Linked DNA regions of Mus musculus: all the other regions are reported to be linked to region 1. Evidence: microRNA targets listed by miRTarBase, many of them from high-throughput screens and not tested one by one. Region 1 holds a microRNA gene; each other region holds the end of a gene's coding sequence. Distances are from middle to middle.
Evidence for each region. Region 1 holds the annotated microRNA mmu-miR-495-3p (AAACAAACAUGGUGCACUUCUU, at 1,882-1,903, opposite strand). A microRNA usually pairs through its seed, bases 2 to 8, with sites in the 3' UTR of a target mRNA and lowers its output. Matches are read on the target gene's strand: a 7mer-m8 pairs with bases 2 to 8, a 7mer-A1 pairs with bases 2 to 7 and ends in A, and an 8mer does both.

Region 2: the mRNA of Srpk2 is a reported target of mmu-miR-495-3p. Seed matches in the 3' UTR shown: 7mer-m8 at 2,372-2,378.
Region 3: miRTarBase lists D630023F18Rik as a target of mmu-miR-495-3p. The part of its 3' UTR that is shown has no 7-base or 8-base seed match.
Region 4: miRTarBase lists Bri3bp as a target of mmu-miR-495-3p. Seed matches in the 3' UTR shown: 7mer-m8 at 1,024-1,030, 7mer-m8 at 1,020-1,026, 7mer-m8 at 1,016-1,022, 7mer-m8 at 1,012-1,018, 7mer-m8 at 1,008-1,014 and 7mer-m8 at 1,004-1,010.
Region 5: the mRNA of Tedc1 is a reported target of mmu-miR-495-3p. Seed matches in the 3' UTR shown: 7mer-m8 at 1,785-1,791 and 7mer-m8 at 2,309-2,315.

Annotation. Positions count from the first base shown.
Region 1 is chr12:109,716,632-109,720,697 of GRCm38, reverse strand. Mir495 (microRNA 495) reads right to left here and starts at 1,944; the gene lies at 1,882-1,944. It overlaps Mir666 (microRNA 666), which reads right to left and starts at 3,613; the gene lies at 3,515-3,613. Mir543 (microRNA 543) reads right to left here and starts at 3,440; the gene lies at 3,365-3,440. It overlaps Mir667 (microRNA 667), which reads right to left and starts at 692; the gene lies at 601-692.
Region 2 is chr5:23,504,256-23,508,321 of GRCm38, forward strand. Srpk2 (serine/arginine-rich protein specific kinase 2) reads right to left here. Exons shown (of 16, transcript NM_001359173.1): 16 at 1-3,465. The coding sequence ends at 3,281. Among named protein-coding and RNA genes, the nearest start is that of Kmt2e, 72 kb to the left of the region's middle.
Region 3 is chr1:65,102,008-65,106,073 of GRCm38, forward strand. D630023F18Rik (RIKEN cDNA D630023F18 gene) reads right to left here. Exons shown (of 8, transcript NM_001285882.1): 8 at 3,278-3,743. The coding sequence ends at 3,722. It overlaps Cryga (crystallin, gamma A), which reads right to left and starts at 1,356. Exons shown (of 3, transcript NM_007774.3): 1 at 1,322-1,356; 2 at 974-1,216. The coding sequence starts at 1,330.
Region 4 is chr5:125,454,355-125,458,420 of GRCm38, reverse strand. Bri3bp (Bri3 binding protein) reads right to left here. Exons shown (of 3, transcript NM_029752.2): 3 at 1-4,066. The coding sequence ends at 3,668. Among named protein-coding and RNA genes, the nearest start is that of Gm40325, 8.2 kb to the left of the region's middle.
Region 5 is chr12:113,162,965-113,167,030 of GRCm38, forward strand. Tedc1 (tubulin epsilon and delta complex 1) reads left to right here. Exons shown (of 8, transcript NM_134041.3): 8 at 89-2,494. The coding sequence ends at 418. Among named protein-coding and RNA genes, the nearest start is that of Tedc1, 8.6 kb to the left of the region's middle.

The DNA.
Region 1 (4,066 bases):
AGCGATGTGATAGAAACTAGATTTTTATGTACAGATTTGCCTTGGGAAATTGGATTATAGGATGATTCATTCAATAAACTCTCAAGTCTCAAAATAAGAAAATAAATAAACAAAAGCACTTGCCATCTGGCCAGACATCTGCTCACATACCATCAGCAAGGGGCTGATGCCCACATCGTGTTCCTGAACCTGACACCGGGTACAGAGAGCCCTTCAAGGAGGGATTTTGTGCTCAAAAAGAGGTCAGCGTTTAATATCTTCCACGAACAAACACCATGATGTGGACACTGTCCCTTGGGGCCTCTTGGAACAGCTGCGGCAATCCTGCCCAGGCTTCTCCTGTGAAAAAGACAGCTGGTGAGGTATTGTGCCCAGAGAATATTCTACCCTCAAAGATGGAAGGCTCCCTCTGGGCCTATACGTACCTGGGATGTAGGGGTGAATAGCAGCCCTTAGAAGCCTGCCAATAAAGCACAAAGCTAAATGTGAAATGGAACTGAACAAGTCCGGTTACCTTGGGATGACCACCAGAGGCATTTCTGTCCAGGTGTCCTTTGCATTCCTTGGATGAATCCAAGACAAACTCCCCTCCAGAAGTTTGTGGGCCTAGGGGCCTTGGGCTGGGTGGCAGGTGTCACAGATATAATGTATGGCGTGCTCACTGCTCCACCAGCACCGAGGCCAGTACCCACTAGATGGAAAGGGATTTTCAACCTAAGAAAATGGGTTGACCATGCTTGTTCCATGCCCCTTAGCCTTTCTCCATGGGTATAAAGGGAGAGTTGCTGCTTTTCCAAAGGTGTTTCCATCTTTTATAGGCAGAAGCCAAAACACAGGTACAGCCACAGCCCAAGGGCATCACTGAGCCAGTAGAAACTAAGAGCTAAGTGTGTGGCTAATCCTGGTACCTCTTAGATGGAGTTTGCACTGGGTTTTGATGCGCTATGGTTGTTGAGCCACGTAAGTATAAACAAAGCTTTTATTCCAACTTGAGCAAAGAAAGAAATAGCTAGTATCCTAGCAAAGGGTTGCCTAAGAGTGATCCCATATCTTGTACTGGCTCAGCTTCGGAAACCCTCCAGGGGAGATGGATGGATGAGGTGTTCTCATACTCTCTGGATTGTATCCTCCCTCCCACTCTCACAAGAGAGCCACCAAAGGGCCCTGCTCAAACAACCACACTCAAAGGCAATTTTGATGCCATGAGGAGGCTACCAGAGAATGTTAGCCATAAAGAGAAGTTCACTAGGGAAAAGGGGTCTGAAGTGCCGCCTTACATCTACCACTCCAGAGGGCAGGGGTACCAGTATCAGAGATAAGAGACAGGCAGCAGTGGCTGATGACAGCTTGCTGTTCCCTGGTCCCAATCGTAGCCAGCACCCACCAGTCCTCAAGGCCTTGCTAATGGCATCAAAGAGCACAGCCCGTAGACATGGCAGGATGCTGGTAAAGAGCTGATCTGGGGCCCAGGCTTTTCTAGAGTCATAGTGTTATGTGACACTCACCAACTGACATATCTTGGTAAAGACACCTGCAGCTGACATCTAGACACATGTCTCCAGAAGGAATTGGTGGTTTGGCTTGTATTGGCTGTTTGATTAAATTGCTATTGTTTGGATTTTATAATTTTCTGGGCTTCTCTTATCTGAACTCCATCCTACAACAGAGCCTAAAAGTGCGCTTCCTGGTTTCCCTTACTGACTGTGCCTGTCCCAGGAGGTGGGCATTCTGGACCTAACAATGCACAGAGCCAAGAGGGGCAGGTGAAATTGTGCTTCTTTGAGGTAAATGCCCCTGTGCACATGGTGACCCAAACCCCCTGGCCTCCCGTCCTCCCTCTGGTCCATGGGGAGCTCTCCAAGGTGAGATTTGATATCGAAAAAGAAGTGCACCATGTTTGTTTCGTCACAAATAAAAGCGAAAAATAACATGGGCAACTTCTTTTCAGGTACCACGGCTGAGCTCTTGCTTGTTCCAGCAGTGTGCCTGAGTGTGAAGGGATGCTGAGGGACAGGCGGAAGGAAGGGATGGTGGGTGAGGCAGATACTTGGCCGGGAGGGGGACAGGGATGGGGGTCCTGAGGCAAGGGGAGTGGCTCAGTACTCATCACTGCCATAGCAATCCAGCCCAAACCCCCTCTACCTCAGGATCTCAGGAAGACCTGGGACGAAGACTGAAGATTCTGAGATGTTGCCTACCATCCTTGCCAGTCATTCTGAAGTGTCACTCGGGGGAAATGGGATGGTGCCAAACTCCAAGACAGAATCTCCTCTCTCAGTTCCAGGATCCTCTTCTGAAGCTGAGAAAAAAAAAAAAAGTCAAAGAACTAGGTGGCAAAATCCAGGGCAGCCTAAACCAGCTGTGTGAGTGCCTGGATGATGCCCTCTGAGGTCCCCCCTCTCCCGCACCCAGAAGTGACTTACGATGTAGACAAATACAACAAAGAGCTCACAGGGTACTGGGAAGCAGAAGAACAGGTTGAAATGGGAGGCTCCAGGATTCTGAGCGTGTGAGATGTCTGGGGATGCAATGTCCGTTCATCATCTTGCGGCTGTCCTGAACGGGACATATGACCGACCCTTCCCTGAAAACAAAACGCATTGATTAGTGTGTGTTACCGTTACTGGAAGGTTACAACACTACAGCAATATATCTGAACCACAAAGGAAAGTGACTTGGTACCAACTACCTACCTTAGACTGGACAATGGGAATAATGAGCAAGAGAACATACCATCCAAAGAATGCCAGTTACACTCATTGACAGGCCACTCAACAAGGAGCCATCCATTCCTCTCATAGTAAGGAAAGGCCCACCTCAAGCTGACTTACACACAAAGGAGGCATCCAGGCTAATATAACTTAAAGGTACAGTGACGTGTTGAGCTTCAAGGAGTGTCGGATGCAGGTCCCAGATTGTACTGTTACTCAAATGTCCCATGGTTCCTCTGGGACAGGCACTTCCCCCTCTGTCTAAACAGCCCTGGGTACTGTCCTCTTGAATTCTAGCTGGCCTTCAAACTCAGGGAACAGTGAGATCCACTCAGACATCTCTCACAGAAATGAAGACTCATTCCCCTCCCAGAAGTCTCAGCAAACATCTCCCTGTGGGCTAAGGTCTCATCTAGGAATCAATAATGTCTGGTCAACTGGTTCCTTTGACACTGTGTTGTGGAGGAGGGAGGAGGGAGCAGGAGCCAACCAACCCAAACCCATTCTCATTAAGAAAGGTCAGAGGACCATTCAAGAAGGGAGATAAACTCACACAACCCAGGCTCACTACATAGACTACTTTCCTAGACTAACATGGCTTCCCTGAAGTCAGTAAGTAGTTGAACCCCCGAAGTCTTCAACGTAGAATAGGATGCTGAAAAAGAAGTGCACCGCGAATGTTTCGTCACATATAAAGCGAAAAACACGCGGGCAACTTCTCATTAAGCACCGTACGTCAGCAGCATGGAACCCTGTGTACCACTTGTGTACCGCTGTCGTCACTTCCTGTGGCTTGAGTACCGCTGTCGTCACTTCCTGTGCGTGAGCAGGCGATCACGCTGCAGCCCCGCTGTACCTAGGGGGCTCTCACAGCTGTGCCCGCTCCACGCAGGCAGAATCAGGATCTTGTAGACAGGCTTTGGATTGGTCATCCTTTGGGGAGGTCTTTGGAGTCTCCTCAAACATCAGAGAATGATATAATAATCCTGACTTTGCTTCCCAAAGTCCAGCTCTGGATCCGTGACAAGAGAGGAGGTGGGTCCCGTGACCTCTCAGTCGAGGTCACCACCCATCTGCTAGAGGGGAGGACATCAACCTATGTTCCACGGTGGAGGCCCTGATGCAAGGAGGTTATCATGAAATGGGAAACAAAAAGATATCTGAGCCTTTGTCAGAACGAGACAATGTCTCCTGGACAAAAATATATGTAAGTGGCATGTGGTGTTCTGAGAACAGATTCTGTTGACCCTCCACTTGCTGGGAAATGGAACATTGAGATTAAAAAAAAAAAAGAACATGAATAAAGATAGACTTCTTAGGTGTTCCAGGTAGATAGTTGGTTGCCTATGCTTGTA
Region 2 (4,066 bases), not on the chromosome of region 1:
ATACTAGCTTTAGGGCTTTAAGTTGTAGAAAATAGGTCTCTTTAAACAAAACCAAGGGCGAAAGGCATTATTCTGAAATACGTCAAATAGAATGAAGAGGGTTTCAGTGAATATTTTATTACTGAAAGAAGATATACCAGTTGTGACTTTTTTTTTTTAATTATCAGCTTCTGCTGTCTACCTCTCAGGAGTGGCCCTATTTACCACCTTCCAAACATGTGACACAATTGGGCCCAGTATATAAATTTTGTGCATCAGGAAAAACAGCAAACTCAAGAAATTAGATTTGGTAGTGACTTAAATCATGTTTTATCATTTAATTCCCATTTGAAAATTAACTCTGATGATATTCGAGAATACAGCTCATTTAGGGCTTAAAATCAGTGACCCAAGTTTCTGAAGAAACTTGCCCATGTTCTCCTTAGGATGCTTACCAAAGAAACCTGAATCTGAAAACTGACAGGTTCACATTGTGTCCCTCCATGACAATTTCAGACAGACCAAAGAAATGGCAATATTCACCCTTAAAATCACTTGTCCACAGACTTAAAGTAGCCAGCTAGCTAAGTAATTCATAACGAGAGCTCTTCTGCAAACTGAAACACTTCAACTAAATAGAATCTTTAATGGACACACTCTACAAACTTCTAATTCAGAGAGAGATTGTGTGTGTGTGGGGGGGGGGGTAGTGAGGGGTGGCATGCCTAGGTAGGCAGATCTCCGAGTCCTTGCCTCACAAAATAAGAAAAGAAAAATAATCCGAACGTGTTTTCTATTCCAATGAAAGTTTTTTTTACTCATACCTGTTAAGTTATGCATGGTGCAGGGAATATGGACAAACAAGCAGATCTCGTTAAAGAGTAGACTTCTTTTACACTCCCTACTACTTTTTCTCTGGATGGTTCTGCCATTTTTTAGATTAGCTATTTCTGGATCTGCTAAAGTCACATGTGAGACCCACTGCTTGTAATTTTCCATGAAGATTTCATAGGGTCTTTTCACTAAAAAGACTGACTTGGCTATAATGTTCCAAATAACCAATGGTTCACTTTAAGCTTTTATTCTTTTTTCTTCCTAGATTTTCCTTCACTATATAACCTTGGGTGGCCTGGAGCTTATGCAGAACAGGCTGGCCTCAGAGATCTTCCTGCCTCTGCCTCCCAAGTGCTGATATTAAAGGAGTGCACCACCACACCCAACCTTTACATTTATTCTTTATCATCATGCTACCAAGAATCAGATATAACCATATGGTACCCAATCACAAAAGTGTATGCTAGAACTCCTTGGTATATCATACACTCGCTAGGGTATTATTAATAGAAGAACCACCTTAAGATTAATATTCTAGCTTCCTTTTCCAATTTGACATTTCTAACCTCATTAGACAAATTTCATTCAAATGGTAAAAGTTCTTTCAGAGGTAGGGAAAACATAAACACACTCTGTGGTTCTTATAGGAATGTTTCTATAGAAATCATGACTCAGCAGCCACCATTTGTCATAGGCTCTATAAGGAAACGCACAGCCTCATTGGAAAAACCCAGCATGCATAGTTTGTGAATGAGTGGCATCGTCTATCTTACTACAGTGTATGATATAAAAATGTTAAACCCTAAGAAGGATATGTGTCTTGTTCACACAGGGAAAGATTGGAGGGGACAGGGGAGGAAACCATTGCACTTACGATGAAACACTGATTAAAAAAAGGGAACACCCACATTGTAGATAATGAAGCTATAACTAAAGCCTCGTTCATAAATCCATTCTGCCTTAATGTATGTTCTGTGACAATCTGCAACTCCTTTAGCTTTGTTGACACTACAGAGAGCAAAGGTATGTTGATTCTGTCTCTTGAAATACAGGGTAATAAGCAAGGCAATGTCTGGAAAAACACCCCAAAACACTTTAATTTTTAAGACAAGTGCAAGCACCCCAAACAAAGGATTATTGTTACAACACTTGTTAGCTTTTCACAATCTAATTATTGCAAAGGCATATGAATAAATGTTAATGGACAAAGTCAAGAAAAACGAGGCACCTTAATGAATAAAAATTTTTAAAAAAAAGACATTCAACCCACTGACTTCTAAAAGAGGCTAAATACACCTCCTATGTTACATTCTAAAATAGTATTGCCTACTAATGGTTTGTATCCTGGATTCTACAGTTAATTTTAAGGAAATGCATAAACTAAAACTGTATGCGGTCTGCAAAGGGGAAATGGCCTTCTCATTCATGGGAGGTAAGGAAAAGGCGAGGGAAGGGAAGCTGCCTAGGACGGCATGGGCACGGTCGCTGTTACCTTGAAGCTGTGAGGAGTGCTCGGTCCACTGCGTTGCAAACTGTCTAAGCCACGCCTTGTGTTTTAAACAAACACGATCATGCTTTTCAAAAAATATTTTTTTCATTCCACACACTGAACATATTTCTCTTGTCCAATTTAATCTACGTATTTAACTTACAGTGCTGGTGAGAGGTGACACTACCGGGGATTGGGCCATCACATTTTAAGTGGAAATGACTGATACTTTAAACATAGCTTAAAAATATGCAAAATACAAATGGAACTGCTAGATTATAGTGTCAAATTTTTAAAGTTTTTCTCTCTTTAAAGTGCCACAGAGGGCATGGCACCTCGTCCAGAACCACTTGGGTTGTTATGGAATGAAAAGTTTGTGCAACTTTCTGAAGCAGTGGAAATCTGCAACATGCAATGTAGGCCAAAAAGCGCTCAGGACTGGGTAGCTTTTCTGAATGTGAATCCTCATCCCCTATTTATGCAAAGTAATAGTTACATACACTAGTATAATACAGGAATGATTTCCCTTTGCCAGACGATAAAATTGTACATTTCCTTGCTCTTTCTTGGTTCCAACTGATAATTTCTTAAGATTGTAAATTATATAATACTCAGCTAAAATATGTCTTCATAAATAGTTACAGAACCTGCCAAAACACAAAAGGGAAAGTATTTTTCGTTCAAAAAAAAAAAAAGACATTTGAATGTCACACAACACAAGAAACAATGCTTAGAGACATGTTATTGTTTCCAGAAGAAAATGGCCAGTAAACTACTTAGCTGAAGACAAAGACCAGCCTTCCCCAGGACCATGGTGCACAGGAAGCAAAGTGTCAAACAACAGTACCTCAAAGCACTACAAAGGTCTGAGGGTGGAGCCAGCTCACTGGTAATCCTGTTAAAGAATGAGAGCCACTGTGTAGGTCCAATGTACTGGGAGAAATTTGCTAGCTCAGAATGCTATATTTGTAGAATCTGCTAAGAATTCAACCAAGGATGTCGAAGGCATTCGCCAGCTGAGGCTCGTTTTTCTGGAACCATCTCTAACATTGGGATCAGGAAATCTGTAAATTGTGCAGCATCTTCATGGGGCCAGCCATACTTTTCCACAAGTACATCAAAGAGGCTCCAGGGCTTCAGCTTGGTGATGTGCCGCAGTTCTCCTGGAGAGAGAGAAGTACAGCATCAGAGACGCTCCACGAGTGCACATCTCAGGATGACCTGAGCCAGACAGGCTTCTTCTCACTGCAGCAGACATTTTACCTCTCAAACCATTGGCTACAACAAAGAACGCTAGCTTTTCTCCCCTAAGCAAGTCTCATTGAAGAGCTAAGGGTCAAGTCGAAGCACGCTAGGTGAGTGTAAATGGGTTACGTCTGAACAAATAAATCAGCTCTGTGCTTCTTGAGCTGCAAAAGCACTGAGAGTGTCTGCTTCCCACTGGAGAGCTGCTCACACTCCAGCTTCGTGGTGCCGCCGCCATCTGTAAACTGGCTTAGGATACCTGGATGATGCAGGCTATTTGAAGTTGTTGCTGTGTTTTCACATGTGCTTCTACCTCAATGCAAATCTAACTTTTTCTGATGGTGCACATGTCCTTTTGAACTGTGCTGTCCACTGGCTCCACAGGGCTAACAGGCACACGGTTAGTACACCTACAGAGCATAGGAACTCTACTTTGTCTAAATTTAAGAAATAGCCTCAAGCAGCTACTAGCAACCCAAAACAACGAATTTTTATCTCTATTCATTTATAGTAAAATAT
Region 3 (4,066 bases), not on the chromosome of region 1:
GCTAATTAATACACATTTGCCCCACATAATTATTATTTTTGTGCTGAGAATACATAGAATCCACTCAGCATTTTTATTGTGTGTTTAAGATATATTTCTTTTAATTTCATGGCTATGAATATTTACCTGCATGTTTGTAAGTGCACTACGTGAGTTGTGCTTGGAGCTCATGGAGACCAAAAGAAAGCATGGCATTCCTTAGGACTGGAGTCACGCACAGTTGTGAGCCACTTGTGGGCACTGGGAAACAGACCCAGGTCCTCTAGAAGGGTAGGCAGTGCACTTAACCACTGAGCCATCTTCCAGCCTCACCTTTCAGCAATTTTTAATAACTCTAATACATAACATGAACAGTCATCACTGTGCTATACAGTAGATGTCTAGATCATAGTTCTCTCCAGCAGCAATTTTTCTTTTTCTGACTGTCACTCCAAGCCTCTGGTCCTCTGCGTTGCCGCCCTAGCCTCTATATTTTTATGCCTGGTGCTGATAACAGAACTCAAGGCTGCATGCCTGCTAGACAAGCACACTACTGCTGAGCTAAATCAACGAGCCTGATCTTCTTGCCATAAACCTGCTGCTGTAGATCCCCCATAAAAATGAGAACTTGTGGCCTTTATCACTACATACTTGACTCCTTTCTTTTAGCACAGTGCCCTCCAGGTTCATCCATGTCATCACAAATGATAGGATTTCCTTCTTTTATGGCTGAAGGGTATGTATTTATTCGGCCAAGATTAATTTTAAAGGTCATGCTGTGGTTTCTTATGTCCTAAAACACTAATGCCCTTAAGTAAGAAATAATATATTGCTTATATTCTATTTAGCCTTAAGAGTCGGGTCTTGATATAACTGTGAGCACTTGTCACGCGTTCCTAGCCTTGCTTAGGGCATTAGAACACGAACTGGAACAAACTGACCATCAGGAAGACCTAGTGTTCTCTCACATCAGCCAGGCTGAAGCAATACTCACGTATGGAATGGAACGGCAGGAGCGGATGGAGTCGCTGAAACCCATCCACTGCTGGTAGTCAGGGTAGTCCCCGCGACGCAGGAAGTACTGGTAGCCCTGGTAGTTGGGGCGCTCATAGAGCATCCAGCAGCCACTGTCCACACGGATGGAGTTGCAGCGGCTGAAGTAGGTCTGCAGGTTGGGGCAGTCGCTGCTGCACTCATAGCAGCGGCCCTGGAAGCCGCGGTCCTCGTAGAAGGTGATCTGTAAAGGAAGAAACGGTGTAACATCACATGGTCAACTCGAAGGCGCATCCCCCACCCAGAGGGGGCACTCAACAGACTCGGGGAGGGTTCTCCTTTGGCTCACCTTTCCCATCGTTGTTGACAGCAAATGGTCAGTGTTGAGTATGATGGGGACAGGAGTGGCAGCTGATATATATACAGCAGGATGGCTGCTGTGTTGGCAAGAACCACACAAAAGGGGCCTGGGGGGATGTGTAAGGGGATTTCTGTGTCCTCGCGCTTTGTCATTTGGGATCATGGGGTAGGGGGCTCTCGTTCTCTCTGGCATTTTCGAGTTGTCCTCACTATCTCAGTGAAAGGAATTCAAGTCAGCAGAGCCATTATGACCTTGGAGACAAAGGGCGCGCTTCTCACCCTATGCAGCGCGCTCGAAATGCATTATGCACCCAGCATTTTGCAGTGTTTGCCTATAGAAACTGCTGAGGTGGAGGGTGGGGCCTCCATTTGTGGGAGCTCATGAGAAGCACGAGTTCCAGAGGCACTCTCAGGAGCCAAGAGGTAGCAGCAGAAAAACCAATACATTTCTCTAATTGAAAAACACTTGTGTGTCTTTATCTGTAGAATATGGGTTTGATGTTTTTAAAACTTTCACGTGTTTAAGATAAAAAGATTAGACCTGTGTATAGACTAAAATGTCAGCCATGGTCATCAGTGAGTGGTAAGTGTATATGTAGGTCTTCATTTTTTTTTCTTCATTTTTTAAAAAATGGTGTTTGTTTGTTTGTTTTAGAGATTTATTTATTTATTTATAAGTACACTGTAGCTGTCCTCAGATACTCCAGAAGAGGGCATCAGATTTCGTTATGGATGGTTGTGAGCCACCATGCGGTTGCTGGGATTTGAACTCGGGACCTTCAGAAGAGCAGTCGGCGCTCTTAACCACTGAGCCATCTCACCAGCCCCGTAGGTCTTCATTTTATTTCTTTCTTTTGATTTAAAAATTTTTTAATTTTACACACACACACACACACACACACACACATACACACACACACCAAATTCAGTGGATGAAAATAGTAAAATCAATAAATATAATATATATGCTTGGGATGATGATAAAGTGAAACACTTCTTCTTGGTCTAAAATGAAAAGCTCTCTGAAGAATCTGAGGCACACTGTTTAGGAGAAGACAGCCGTTCTTCCTGCCACCCCGCTTCTTCCAGAATTACCTTTTGTTCATAAAACCAGTGCTCTGACTTGTCTGTTTTCCCCCTCACCAAACTGTCGGCTTCCCTGAGCCAGGATGGCAGTCATAACTGACTTGATGTGCTTCTCAATTGCAGGCATGGAGGATGGTCCAGCCTTGGAATGTCTGCTGTCATCCCATTCTGTGCATATTTTAGGTAGTGAAGCCATGTCCATGAGGACACCCAACTAGAGTTAGCAATGCAGGCACAATAGCTGCATGAAAATCCTTAGGCATCACTTACAGGGCATGGACAGACCGTGAAAGGATGGAGAGCAAGAATCGTCTTCTCATAGTTAGCGAGGCTGCGCAGAAGCAGACCATAGCGAGGCTGCGCAGAAGCAGACCATAGCGAGGCTGCGCAGAAGCAGACCATAGAGAAGCGTCGCAGAAGCAGACTGAGCCAAGTCCTCAGTGGCTGGAGCATTGGAAAGGGCTACAGGCCACTGATGTCCTCTTTTGCCTCCATCCTAGTGTTCCAAGTGTCCTGGTGAACTTCAAGTTCAACTGTGATTAAGCCCCAGGCAGAAAGGCCCACATTGATCTCCCCAGCCACCACCCCACGTGGGAGTACCTCATATTTTCAGAAGAGGTCAACAAACTCCCCTGAGTTTGCATGTGGCACCAAGAGCATCGCGCAGAAAGATGGTTGGCCCAGTTGTTAAGAAAGAGGAGACAGTGTGATGTGTTCTGACATTAACCTGATGAAGTTGTTTTGCTAACTGGTTGAGCCATGTGCCTGTTGGCACTTGGCAAAGGCCAGGAAAGAGCAGCATATTTTCTTTCCCCATTGGTCATCGCGTTCTACCCAGAAAGAGCTGACATCCAGTTCTCTTTTCAAACTTTATTGAAGTGGAATGAGTTTACATTTTCTCTGAAAGTTATGCTAATGAGAAATTGGTTTTATTTGGGGTTAAAAACTTTTGGAAAACCACCTCCTTCTCCAGAATTCTATGCTATATTTAATGATACACATTTTCTAAGATGTGTATCAAAGTCAGATTGTCTGGACCCACCCAGAAATAGTGAACCCCCTCTGGATGCTCCAGTAGTCTTCCAGACACAGAATGAAATAGCAGAGGATAGACACATTTCTCCTTTTTGTCAAAATGCAGGTGTGCAATATGCTTCCAAAAGAAGACGGCTCAGTGGCAAACATGATAGTCAATGCAGTTTGCATTAAGAGCTCACTGAAGAAGAAGTGGGTGCTGGTGACAGCTGTAGCTTTAAGGCGAGGCATCCTGGCTGCTCCTAGAAGCTCTTACACGTCCACAGCACTAGTCCACGTTTCTAAGTGACCTGCAGAATGAAAGGATGGCTTTGGTACCAAGCACATCTGTATAACACAGACACATACACCAGCTTTCTATTGGAGTTAAGGTCAAATATCAGACACCAACAGAGAGGGATTAGACTCGTGTAGATGTGAAAGGATTTCCACAGAACGGTTCTGAAATATCTGAAAATGAGTTGTATTTCTCAACTGAAGGCAATATGCGATCTCACATTAAATCCTTATAGGGGACATTATTTTATTTTATTTTTTGAAAATAAAATGCTCTTTGGGTGATAGATTAGATAAAGGTAGCAATGTTTTAGATTCTGACGTTAATAATTGGCTA
Region 4 (4,066 bases), not on the chromosome of region 1:
TCTCTAAAACCCCGAACCATAGGGCCAGAGAGGCTGCTCAGTGGTTAGAGCACACCGGCTGTTCTTCCAAACAACCTGGGTTTGACTTTTTCAGCATCCACAAGGCAGCTGACAGTTATCACTAATTCCAGGGCGATCTGACACCCTCTTCTCCTCTCTGCAGGCACCAGGCAAATACGTGGTACACAGACATACAAGTGTGACAAAAACAAAAAAAACAAAAACAAAAAAAAAACCACCCATATACATAAAATAATTCAAAATAAAACACCACCATCAAAAATCACCAACCCCAATACCCTAAGCTAAGCCCAGTCAGTACACTTCAGAGGCAACCAGTCCTGTCCTCGGTAAAGCAAGTACCTAATATGAGAGACGACCACCAGGGAGTTAATACTGACTTTGAGACAGTTATAATCCTTACACTATCTTTTCATTTAAAAAAAAAAAAGTATATATGTATTTATTGGGGCCAAGGGGTGGGAAGCCACAGCCCATGCGTAGAGGTTAGAAGGAAACCTGTGGGAGTGGTCTGTCTTTTTTCACCATGTTGGTCCCGGGAATCAAACTCAGGTTTGGTGGCAAGTGCCTTTCTTCATTGAGCCATATCGCCTGCCCCGCCCCTTATCTATAATAGATCCACAGTGGCTGCTGTCCAAATGTTTATCATGTTATTCGGTTAAGGAGGAGTTGTACACAGCCCTGAAGATAAGGCATGAAATAAGGTACAAAAATACATCTTTCCACATACAAAAGAGATAGGGGGAGGGGGAAGGGAAGGGAGGCCAATAAGCTGTCCACGGAATGAAAGAAGAAAAGAAAAAAATCTTTAACTACTGGGGGCTATGATTACTTCCAAACAATGCCAGGCATGGTGGTGCAACACCTTTAATACCAGCAATCAGAGGCAGGTGGATCTCTGCAAGTTAGAGGGCAGCCTGGTTTACACAGAGAGTTGCAGGACAGCCAGGGCTATGTAGAGAGACCCTGCCTCAAAAAGAAAAACAAACAAACAAACAAACAAACAAACAAGCTAAAATATATGCATCAAACACAGTAACACCATCTGAAGTTTTTTTGTTTTGTTTTGTTTTATTTTTTTTTGTTTTTTGTTTTTTTGATTTTCGAGACAGGGTTTCTCTGTGTAGCCCTGGCTGTCCTGGAACTCACTCTGTAGACCAGGCTGGCCTCGAACTCAGAAATCCGCCTGCCTCTGCCTCCAGAGTGCTGGGATTAAAGGCGTGCGCCACCACGCCCGGTTGAAGTTTTTAAAAACAAAAAAACTACTAGAATTTCAAGTAACATTCTACTCTGATTTGTACATTCTTCCACTAAGAATGAAGGTATCCAGGACTGGACTCTTGAGTGCTCTCTTAACATGCATAGGCCGCGTTCACCCCAAGGCGTTCGAACAATGGGGGCGTAGTCACATGTGCACATCATTCCTGCACTCGGGCTGGGGGCAGGAGAGTTTAAGGCCAGTCTCAGCTACTTAGCAAGTTCAAGGCCAGTCTTAAATACATGAGACCCTGTCTCAAAAAATCATAATAACTAGATGTAAAAATTAAAATGAAGGCATCTTGTGTATGTATATATATAGTGTATATATACAAATAATACATGAATATATATAGCATATATATGTATATACACATTATATATATTCAACTATAAAACTGGCTTTAGAGTCTACATTTGGTCAGACTGGAAAAAAATATTGCAGATTTTTACCTTTTTTGTTGCTATTGTTTTGAGACAAGGTCTCAGTGTATTAAAACTGCCTGTCCTGGAACTCACTACATAGACCAGACTGGCTTTAAACTCCGATGTGCCTGCCTCTGCTCTCTTGTGCTACCATACCTGGCTTTTGGTCTCGCTATGTAACCCTGGCTGACCTGAAATAGACCACTTAAGACCTGGCTGGCCTTCAAATAGCAGCAATCCTCCTGCCTCTGCCTCCTGAATACTGGGTGGAGTTGCAGTCTTAGCTACAGTGGACTGTATAGGAATCGACCTACAACATCTCAAGTGGCCACTGAGAGGAGCCAAGGCAAGAAGGTTTAGCTTTACAGAGAGTGACTGCCCCCTAGCCAACATCTGAAAAGTAATCTTTTAGTATGATATGACCAGACATCTGGAAGGAAAGATATTAACAGCCAAGGTGCCCCTTCTCGGCTACTTCCACCCTGTGCCGCGAGTAGATATGCCTAGAGCATCTAAACAACAAAATCGGAATGTTTCACATCACAAGTTGTGGATTTCCAATGTCTGTGGAGAGATTTCCCCAGTACCGGTTCCAGAAGGGAATGAAATTCAAGAAAATGAGAGTCCCATACTGCCTGTCACCTCGAGAACAGAGGTCTCTCTCGGCCACATCCTCAAAGACCCAAATCTGTGTGACAGATACCTGTAACCAAAGACAGAACTTCACAGACATACGGCACCAGAGCTGCCATCAGCTGGGTCCCCCTCCAAGCTCAAGTTGGGACTCAGTGGCTCCACAGTCCTCACGGGCGACCCTAGTGACATCCCACAAAAGCCAGCTCTCTTTCCACAGAAGCTGGCAGAGAGGTCTCTGCACCCAGGGGTTTAGCTATTAACAAGCAATGCCCTGGACCCCAGACTTTAAAAAGCACCTAACACAATTATAAAAATTTCAGGACAAACGATTCAGATCTCAAGGTTGCTTATGCCTACGAATGTTCTAGAAGGAATGAAATAAAGGATGTTACTGGCCGTGAACGGTTCCTTTTTCTTCTATGGTCCCGAGTCAATTAGAAGCAAAGGAAACAAGTGATTCCCATGAGGGTCCAGCCGGCTATCTGGGCCTCGCTGGCCAACAGGGAATGTGAGATTCAGCTGGATTCTGGAATGATCTTCGGGGCCTACCCGGTTCTTAGCATCAAACTCCAAAGACAGTTTGCAGCTCCATCCATGTCCTTTCTTCCTGGAAAGGCTAGGGTTAATCTACATTGAAGTCCAGAGAAGAGAAAGAGATCTCGGGACGTCTGTGGGTACCTTCATTCAGAAATACAATGGACAAGGGTGGGGGGGTGGGCTCAGTATCCCCAGCACCATACAAAACAGAAATAGACATGGAGGGGCACAATGGACGAAGAGCTCACAGGATCCCTAGGATCCAATCCTCTGAAGCCCAAGTGTCCACAAGAACAAGAGACAGCACTTGTTAACCAGGTCACCACCAACCCCAGAAGACACGAAATAAAGGTCACATTCGGGAAGACGAAGAGATTGCACACGGTGCTCACCCACAAGCCAATTTTAACCTCCTTAAGGACGTCAAGCGTTCCCTTCAAAGCTCTGATAAACTTGACTCCATCTGCCTTTATTTAAAAACCTTACAAAAGATGTATTTAAATGTTTGGGAAGAAAAATCAACATTATGTTCTATGCACAGGTAAAGTTATCCGACTACACAGCTAACAGGGGGTATATCCGTTGTTTAAAAACTGCTTTCCCACTGGTGATCTACGAAAGTGCTCTCTCCTCCAGTGGCTCCTAAGGTCGACACACAGTGGGAAATACCAGGCGTGGCGTTTTTGCTCAGTTTATTGGGAGGGTTGGGATTTGGTGGGGTTGCCGGCTCTTCTCTTCTTCTTCTGTCTTTTGACATCACTAGCTGGTTGGACGGCTAGGCAGCTGACCTTCACTTGTCCTTGGAGCGGTCAAGGTTCTCGAGCACCCTGTTGAGGCGGATGTTAAGCAACCTCACCTGGTTCTCCAGGTGTTCCAGCTTCTCCTCCACACTGGGGCTGCAAAGGCCACCGGGGCTGCCCCGCCAGTAGCCCATGGGCCCCGTCATGAAGTAGATGGCCACCACGACGCAGAGCGGTAGCACTGCGTGCTCTGGCTCGCCCTCGTACTTATGTAGGATATACACGCAGGACATGGAGAACAGGATGACACGCACGAGCCAGAAGAAGCGGCCAAACACCAGGTGGAGGAGGCTGAAGGTGAAGCCCAAGGTCAGAGACAAGAACCAGTAGGCCAGGAGAACCACACCAACCAGCACCAGGGCCCGGGTGGGGCTGTTGGACACTGAGGC
Region 5 (4,066 bases), 3.4 Mb from region 1:
CTGCAGGGTTGCTGGGAGCACCTGGATCCTGGATTCTGGGAACAGAGCTGCCCTTGGCTCAAGAGCATCTGTACCTTCTCTCACGCAGGTTGGAGGCCTAGGTCAGGGGCCAGAATGGAGCAACTCAAGGAAGGCCCTACAGGAGGCTGTCCAGCAGGAGTTGGCAGCCCTGCAGGGGTCCTGGGAGCAATCCAGTACCCCTGGCCAGCCACAAAGACCCCATCGACTGGTGAGAAGTAAAGATGGGGCACCAAGACCCCAAGGCCTACAGGCAGCCGAGGTGATCAGGACACTGAGCGCCAAGGAGGCCTGTCTGAAGAAGGCGTTGCACCAACTGCAGCGGCAATGTCAGCAGGAGCTAGCCAGGCTGGCTGGTGCTCTGCCTGGCTTGATTTGGATTCTGCCTCCTGAACACTGAAGGCCCTAGGATGTAGCCATCTGTGTAGGATCTCAGAGGCAAGGAGCAGAGAGGTCCAGGCTTGTGTTCCCTCCAGGGCCAGAGCCCTTTCGCCTATGGTTTTGGTGTTACAACAGTCTGGTCCTCCTGAGAGGTTTGGAGGGGACCTATATATACGCGGTAGAGCTGTTCCTGGGGATACCTGGCTGCTGCCCTCTTCCACTGTCCCTTTATCTTCCTCTTTTTGGCACACTGGGATGTGTGTAGCGTACGGTTGGCACCATGCTGTAATCACACATGCCCCAAAGTACAGGAAGTATTGGGCCTCCCTGAGTGGAACAGCTCTGGTTGTTTCCCTGAACCTCTTTCTTAGACTCTGGCTCTATGCCTCCTGCAGCAGAGCTCCCTCCTGTACTGGGCCACGGATGCGCCTGATGTGTGTGTGTGGTGGGAAGCTGGATGGGAGCCTGGGGGCTCTGCCTGGGAGACCGGAGGAGAGGAAGCTGCGGTGCAGACAGAAGGCTTTTGTTCTGAAGGCTGCTGGGCAAGCTCGGCGCTCACAAAGCAGCCTGTGTCCGGGACGTGCGTACAGCCTGGTGGGATAGTTCTGTCCTAACCCAGTCTTTCCCAGCCAGCAGGCTCAAGCGGGTTCCATGGTCTCTAGCCCTACCTTCCTTCCAATCCCCAGCTCCAAACACTGACCAGGCACTGGACAGCCGGTAGGACCCACCAGGCAGCCTCTGTCTCTTGCTTATCTAGGCCAGAAGCCACTACGTGACTCGGAGCCTTGAACACTAAAACATTCTTTCATGGGGGTTTCCTGCTTGTCTGGTGGTGTGTGCTGGAGTGACAGCTCATGTCTGGGTACAGGTGGCCTGTGGCCCTGAGGCAGGACACCATATGGTTAGCTACAGTGAATGTTCCTAGCCCACTTCTGGATGGCCAGTGTCTAATAGGTCCTTCCTAACTTTTACGGACATAGCTCCTAGAATCTCTGGAACCTCCTGCCTGCCGCTGGGCCTCTGCTGGACCTCCTGGCCCGCAGCCCCTGTTCCTGCTTGCGAACACTTGTTCAGCTCTTCTTGCTGCTTCCACCAGTGGGTTCCGGCTCTGGTCCAGGGCATGTGGGAACTTGACTGTCTGGCTCCTCATGACTGTGATGTGGTCTATAAACAAATCTACTTAAGCTCGCTGTCTCTGAAAACTGCCCTGCTCTAGGACTTCCAGTGGTCCTCTGGAACTCACCCTTAAAAATCCAAAGCGGATTCAGAGCTCTCGCTTCTCCATCTGCTCTGCAGAGTTAGTGCAATTCCTGTCAGAATCCTCTGTGTGTGTGTGTGTGTGTGTGTGTGTGTGTGTGTGTGTGTGTGTGTGTGTGTGTGTGTGTGTTTGTTTGTGTCTGTCTGTCTCAGGCCATGAGAAGGCAAGAGCCTGTAGGGGTAGGGGGCTTAGCCATGGGACTCATCCTTGGTCAAGTTGTCACCTGGGAAGGACCTCAGAACTAGCTTTTCCACACAAGGGCTTGAAATAGCCCACGTTTGTGGTCTCAGTGCTCTGTGTCCTCAGCTCCCATACTTGGGAGCCACACAGTCAAGTAGGAATAAAATGTAGTGTCAGTTGGCCACAATGTCCCTGGCAGATCCTGACGTCCTGGGGCAAGTTCACAGGTTGATGACCGTGCTGCTCCAGGGTCCTGCAGCATAACAGATCAGGCATTAGGGACCACCATCAACCCTATCCTCCCTGCCTCTGAGGAAGACCACGTTGTCCGCCAGGACTCCCAACCTGATCCTAAGGTCCGCAGCATCTTTAATACTTGTCACGAGAACTGAAGCTCTGGCCACCCACGGGTACATTTGAGGCCAGCAGGTGGACAGTGGGGCCATGCTCTCGAACCAGTGAGGACATGGAGTTTGTTCCTTGGGTTCCCACCCAAGGCAGACACCTCCTTGCTTGAGGTAGTGGGGAATACCAGAGGTGGATTCCTGACACCGGAATGTGCTGACTGGAAGGGAAGTTTAGTAATTCCAACTCTTGTCAAAACTAGAAACTTCTGTTTAAAAGTCGACATTAATAAGATGTGTCTCAATGGCGGAACGCTTGAGTGTCTTATGTGAAATTGGATTTCATCTCCATCTTGGTTTGAGGTGGTGGTGGCGGTGGAAACAGTTTGGGCTGGGAGTGTCAGTTACGTTTGCAAATGGTTCGGTGTGCAACAGGACATCAGTCATGGAAGGGTTGCTGTGCAAGGCAGGAACTGAGATCGGTAAGTAGTCATCTTCATGGCTGCCGGTTGAATGGGAAGGGGGTGCCAGTTACAGGCCGGAAGGTGTGCTGAGAAACGGCTTTGGGTGGGGGAAGGAACCAACGCAGTGGATGGGGAGAACCACTTCTAGGCCTATCCCAGAGAATTAGTTGTACATGCACAGGCCTGGATGGGACTGCCCGGGAGCTATATAACTACAGAAACCAGAAATACCCACGATGTTAAGAGACGCCAAAGGATGCTGCAGTCCTGAGTGTAAAAATTCAGTAATCTTGAATCTGGGTGAGGTGGCGCACACCTTTAGTTCCAGCACTTAGGAGGCAGAAGAGGCAGGCAGGTCTACAAAGTGAGTTCTAGGACAGCCAAGGCAGTTGCACAGAGAAACCCTGTCTTAAAAAGCAAAATCAAAAAACAGCTTTAAAAAAGCAGTATGATATTTAACGAGGCCATAATAATAAACAGTTTTGTTTATTATAATAAAGCAGTGCAGAGGGTGCACCTAGCACCGAAAGAGAACCCAGTTAATCGGCCAGAAAAAGACTGGCACAATAATCTCATTCATGGAATGTGCTAGAACAAGGGTAGGTGTGGGTGTTCTCCCCATCCCATGAAGATGCTGTAAGAAGCTTCGCCCTTCATATAACACGGGTGGGTGGGTCAGCCCCGGGTAACGGGTCAGCCTGCAGCCCTCCTGCATACTTGTGTAGACACTGAGAGCATCCTCTGTAATTCCAAGACCTAGTGCTGGCCTGCAGTCTCTCCCCCATCACTTTCCACCTCCACTCTGCCATCTTCACTGCTGCCACTGGGCCGAGTGCAGCACCTGGGGCATCTCCGATGTCTCCCAGTTGACTGGAGAAAGCTGAGCAGCCTGGTTGTATAGCCAGGAGGGGATGTACGGGTGTACGACATGTTTGTTAATGGAGGATTCTGTTTACACAAATGGGCCCAGCTCCCATTTCTCTCAGCACTGGCTTCTTGCTGAGGTACTGAGGAGGCAGCCCTCTTCACACTCAGAGTGAGAAAGAGTTTGAGGGTCATACCTGGGATGGTGCCTTTCAAGACTGCCGGGGTCGTCCTGCAGAGTAGCGGGGACTCAGGCAAGGCCTCTTGGGTTAGGTGTCCAGTTACGGTGGCATATTCCCAGTGAAGTGTCTAAAACAGCCAGCTACTTTGAGAGCAGTGCCACCAGCTTTGAGAGAAAGGACTGCCTGGCAGACAGGTCCCTGCTTGAGGCTGCCAGCCCTCCAGGAAGGGTCTTCCTGCCACTCAAAGGCCTGTGGCCTACACCTGCTGCTATTTTGCTCATCTGCACAAAACAAAATGTTGGGTGTTTACAGTTCAACACAAAATGGACGCTCATCAGCTTTTAACCATGCTCAGCAGTGTCTGGTCCTGCCTCA